Tribolium castaneum: one gene and its partner. The main gene of each other region encodes a partner of the protein of the gene in region 2 in a complex. Links are inferred from orthologs where the notes say so. Each region holds a gene or a part of one and is shown on either strand. Other genes may lie near its edges. The genes, in order: Arpc4 and actin-related protein 2/3 complex subunit 3-B.

Region 1 (2,892 bases), about 3.1 Mb from region 2:
ATTCTAAGAAAATTTCAAATTTTCTATTACATTTAGGTGAAAAAATCGTATGAATTAAATTTTTATTTCGCTTTTTATAAACCGGCTTCTAAGAAAATTTATCTTAAAACTACGTCAAGTTTGCATCTACAGTAGGGACTGGTGTATTGATTAAGGCGTCATTTTCACTTTGTTCGACTGTACGTGATCGGACGGTTTTCGCGAGAAATAACGCGCTTTTGTGAACATTACGTACTCCTAAAGGAATAGAGATCCTATTTTGCCACTTATGTGTTTAATCTATTTACTTTCAGCTATTTTTTTTGAAAAAAAAGTCCAAGTTACTGAAATTCTGATTTGAAATTTCACTTCCGGCTTTCTACACTAAAAAATCAAATTTTGAATCCGATTTCAGAGTTAAAAAGAACAGTGAATTTTTCATAAGTATATAAAGCTTCATTTTATATATTTTATTATTTATTGCTTAATTGGACGCTTTATCTGAAATGCCCCCAAATTGGCTTTGGTGTTTTTCGTGTTCGAGGTTGGTAGTACCAGTGACCCAGTGGTCCAAACAACAAAAAAACATTTTTCTTAATAAAATGATCGATTTATTGGCGAAACAATATAATAAGTAAAAATAGAATTCGTATTTGAAATTAGGAATAAATAAATCTTCCTGCTGGATAAACCTAGAACTTATGTACACATGTCCACTCTCGCTCTCCTCAAAACCTCTTCAAAAACTCCTCCGAAACTATTCGAGCCCTCGCATTCACCGCCAACTTCATTTCCGACACTTCTTTATCAATTTCCTCCATGAAATGAATCACAAAATCGACCAACTTATGTTTGTACATCTGCTCCGTGTGGAAATTCGTAATCAGGAAGCTAATATCGTAGCCCTCGATGGGCTTCCGCCGCAAAACCACGAAATTCTCCGCCCTCATCATCATAAACCGCATGAACTTCTTGCAGAGGATTTTCTCGATTTCGTCCGCTTGTTTCACGGCTATACTGATACGGACCGAGTTCACTGACGTCTCTATGAACACCTTTTCCTTCTCGTTGCGCGAGATCACGACGGGAGTCAACAGCAGCTCCTTACTGGACCTAACCTCAACCTCCGGCTTGTTGTGCCTTTCCACCACCTGGGAGGAGAAGTTCTCCAGGCACATGGCGGCCGTTAAGGTGTGCCGCACCGCCGTTAAGTAGGGCCGTAGCGTCGCCGACATTACCGCTTTTTTGAGCAAAATTACGACTGATAACAGTGATAACACCACACCTCTCTGACATACAATTGTCAATTTGTCAACACAAATTATTATCCGCCAGATGGCGCAGCGATTTTGACATTGACGTAAGGTGCGTAATGTCAAAAAAGTTGCTTTAATTTCGAAAAAAACAATCAAAAACATGTCCGGGGCCCTTAAATTGTACAGTCTGAGTAGATCAGGTACGTAGCTACTGCCGGGTTTGTGTTTTCGTTGTTTTGCGTTCGGTTTTTTTGTGTCGAACGACATAACCTCAATTTGGTTTCATAACAGTCTCAGGTCGCCCCTCGATTTTCCTGCGAGCATGTGGGCAAAACCGCTTAAAAAGCACGTCGAAAGGCGACTACATCAACGTAAATCCGGGCGAGCCTGGCATGAGTTTGAACGAAGTAACCGGTAAGTGAAACTTTAATTGGGGGGAAAAACATAATTTTTGGATGTTTGGTATTGAATTGTTTTCGGTATTGTAGTCATAATGTTCGTTTTTCGACATTAAATAAGTTTTTAGTAGTAGTGGACTAGTGGCGTTTGTATTGTTGGTTGCATAATTCACAGGCGTTTTGATTTTTGATAATAATAAACTGCTAGGTAAATAATAGTCATCTTTTAAATAAAATATTATAAATGCTAAGCAGAGATGCTTGGTATTAAGGATAAACTGTACTGAGATCTCTGAACGCGTGAACGCAAAATTTGAAATTTTTTCCTTAAAAAGTTTTAAATAAATCAACGAGTTGCAACGTTTCGTTTATATAATAAACATCATTAGGCTAAAAAATAAAAAAAAAAAAACAATATAACAGCAATTAATTACTAACTCTGTTATCTTTCTGCCTTGACATTTTTACGGATGTCGTAGTACAATTTTTCCATTATATTGTTGGTTGCCTACTAAACCAGCTCAATAGAATTTATAACCCAAGATTCATAAATAGTCTTCAAAGGCTATGTGTTATGTTTTGAACAACAAAAAAGACATTTCCGACATTTTTTATGAATAATATTAACTTTTATGAACATCTGTTATATTTTTAATTTCCAAAAAGTAAGTTTATGGGAGAATGAATTAATCACAAAACAATTATTTTTTAATTTCACAGCACTCTAGTTTTTTTTTTGTAATGAACATTTGTTATATATTGATACTTTACTTACAATTATTAATAAAAAATCAAAATACTGACATGGCAATTAGGTACGATTAAGGTTAAAAAGGTTATAAGTTATAACTTATAATTAATATCCTAGTCACAAAACTGTTAAACATCAAGACAAAACATGTTAAAAATATGTTGACCATAATTATATAATGTTATTACTTTTTCATAATAAGGAATTTGTCAATTTTACTAAGTTTTTCAGTAAACTTTTGATTCTAGTTTTACTTGATTTAATGTTTTTTTTTTGTTTTATAGAAGATTAATTTAGGAATTATTACTATTTAACATATTTGGTTGGTCATTATTATCATTATAATAAAATTTTCTTGACTAAATTAAGTGGATAAGTATTATTAACTATTAATTTTTGCAAAACTATTAAATATATTGTACTATATTATTAATACTCACATAAATATTTACATATCAATAATTGTAACAATAATTCTTTTCTTGACTGTGGGATTCCAATGCAGCAA
Region 2 (2,696 bases):
AATTTCTTAAAAAATAAGCTAATAAATCTGAGTTATGTCTAAAATGACAGTGTAAGGAACTTGGGTAATGGAACAACTGCGCTCTCTAGCGTCTTTAACGGAACTAACGAAGATGGGAACGTTTTATTTGTACGTCGTTCCGTCTCCTAACCTTTAGACAACCGTTGTATTAGTCCTTAGACATCACTCGATTTTTTTTTATTGAGAAGTCTTTTTGTACAAAACTTAAGAAAAATTAACGTTTTTTGCCTATTTAGAATAATTTCGGTCGTTTTTGAGCCGAAAAATTGTGTAATTAATTAAAGAGAAAGCGAAAAAAATTAAAAAAAAATCAGCGACTTTCGCGAGGCGCCTCTGCTTTAATGAGCCTCTTATCACTGAATTTCAAGATTGTTGTGTCCCCCGAACGGCATCCGGATTAAAGGTCTGTATGGGCGTTCCATGCGATAATGTATCACATATCATTCACAAACCGCGTGAAAACAAACCAAACACAACAATAAAAAAAAATGGTTTATTAATACAATACAGAATCAAATAATTAAAAAATTGGCAAATTCATTGTCCCGGCCCTGAGAGCGACTTATCCATGAACTTCTTTTTGGCAAAACACAGCCACCATTTACTCGGCTTCCCGTCCTCCCCAAAGACCCGATCGACGACCCGCAGCCCCACTTCCTGCCTCAACTGGGTTAAGTACGCCCTCAGGAACTCAGCATCGGCGGGCGACTTCGCCTTACTATACACCGAATTCAGGGGAAACCCTGGATCCCCCGGGATATCAAACCGGGAAATGGCCAAAGTGTACATCTCATTCTGGCCCTGGTTGCGGTTCGCACACCTTTGCAGTTTTTTGAGACACTCGGTAATGTACAGGGTGATGTAAATCAACAAACGGTCGGCCTCCGACTGAAAAGGGCGTTTTTGTGCCGATTGTCACAAGTGGGGCTCACCTTGATCTCATAAGTGCGGAAAAAAACATTGGCCTTGAAGTAATAAAGCGCCTCGTCTATGATATCCTGGTCGCCGGGTTGCCCCCCAAATGGGGGCGCTGGCCCCCGAAATTGTGTTTTAAACGGCAAAATGGCAGTGTTACCGACCGATTGTTGGTGCTCCAAAAACGCCGAATGGTACGCCTGAAACCACAAATCACACCAAACGGCACACAAGGGGGCTATCAAACGCACCGGCATGGTTTTTCCACAGAAATTTCACCAAACCTCCCAGATTAGTCACGTCGGTAATGCAGAACACTGCCACAATGTATGAACACTAGGGCCCCAAAACCCCCACTTAAACGGGCAAGAGCCCCACAAAATCGCACTTTTGGTAAAAAAACACACAAAAACACCGGTTTTGGGCGAAAAACGCCACTTTTGGGTCACAACACAACCTCACTTATTGCATGGTGGTAACACTGGTCGTTACCTAACCTAATTTTTTGCGTTTGTTTTTTGTAAAAATGCGGTACGCGCAGCTAGTTATTGGCCCCGCGGGCAGTGGCAAGGTAATTATTTGTTATTGTAGCACAATTTGGCTAATTTAATTGTTAGTCGACGTATTGTTCGGCTTTGGTGCAACACGCAGTCGACGCAAAACGCACCATAGAAGTGGTAAATTTGGACCCAGCGGCCGAACACTTCGACTACGAGCCACGTGCCGACATCCGCGAGTTAATCCACGTGCAGGACACCATGGAGGACGAAGAGTTGCACTTTGGCCCCAACGGGGGGCTTGTCTTTTGCCTGGAGTACCTGCTGGAGAACTCCGACTGGTTGCGAGACAAGTTGGGGGAGGAGGAGGACGATTATATTTTGTTTGACTGTCCGGGTCAAATCGAACTATACACGCACTTAACAGCTATGAAAAAATTAGTCAAGTTGTTACAAGACTGGAATTTTAATATTTGTAGTATTTTTTTGGTGGACGTTCAGTTTATGACAGACGGGGCCAAGTTTTTGTCGGGCACCATGGCTGCACTCAGTGTCATGGTTAATTTAGAGCTGCCTCATGTGAATTTGTTGTCGAAAATGGATTTGTTGAGCAAGGGGGCGCGCAAGCGCCTCGATAGGTTCCTCGAGCCTGATTCGCATGCCATTCTGGGGGATATTGAGTTAAGTGGCATGAATGCCTTCAATGAGAAATACAAAAAATTGTCTGAAGCCATAGGGGATTTAATTGAGAATTATTCCCTAGTCAGGTTTTTCCCCCTCAATTTGAAAAACCACGAAAGTGTGAGTGACATTTTGGTGACCATTGACAACGTGATACAGTATGGCGAGGATCAGGACGTCAGGACACGTGATTTCGAGGAACAGGACGACGAATAAAATTCCCTAGAGTGTTTATTCCAATTTATACTTTTTTTTATATAAAACAATAACACAAAATACTAAACTAAACCTACTTTTCTATCGGTTTTTATTCCTCTTAAAGCAACCTATACGATAAAAAAGGTACACGTGGATGAGACTTAAACTTAAAAAAATCACAAGTTATTTACAAACCGCCGAATTCGTTCAATTGCACAAAAAGTAGGAAAAGTGAAGTAGTTAAGTCATGTAAGTAGGAGTTATCACAGAAAAAGAATTTGTTCCTTCGTTTCCCCAAACAAAACAAAAAAATACTGACTTAATTACGTGACGGCAATTCCGGAGGTGAGTTAGAGTGTGGGATACGTCGAAATTGCCCTTGAA

Evidence for each region.
Region 1: actin-related protein 2/3 complex subunit 3-B (region 2) and Arpc4 share a complex: the UniProt entries of both Caenorhabditis elegans proteins name them as parts of the arp2/3 complex. The link is inferred for Tribolium castaneum from reciprocal best matches to the Caenorhabditis elegans genes arx-5 and arx-6.

The regions. Positions count from the first base shown.
Region 1 is NC_087401.1:12,843,583-12,846,474, forward strand, and holds Arpc4 (actin-related protein 2/3 complex subunit 4), read right to left. Parts: upstream 1,215-2,892; coding exon 708-1,214; downstream 1-707. Other genes in the region: ND-23 (NADH:ubiquinone reductase 23kD subunit), read left to right, coding at 1,396-1,435, 1,527-1,649. UniProt on the Caenorhabditis elegans protein: Functions as actin-binding component of the Arp2/3 complex which is involved in regulation of actin polymerization and together with an activating nucleation-promoting factor (NPF) mediates the formation of branched actin networks.
Region 2 is NC_087401.1:15,949,768-15,952,463, forward strand, and holds actin-related protein 2/3 complex subunit 3-B, read right to left. Parts: upstream 1,329-2,696; 5' UTR 1,194-1,328; coding exon 1,188-1,193; intron 1,137-1,187; coding exon 954-1,136; intron 910-953; coding exon 559-909; 3' UTR 501-558; downstream 1-500. Other genes in the region: GPN-loop GTPase 3, read left to right, coding at 1,463-1,507, 1,554-2,330. UniProt on the Caenorhabditis elegans protein: Functions as a component of the Arp2/3 complex which is involved in regulation of actin polymerization and together with an activating nucleation-promoting factor (NPF) mediates the formation of branched actin networks.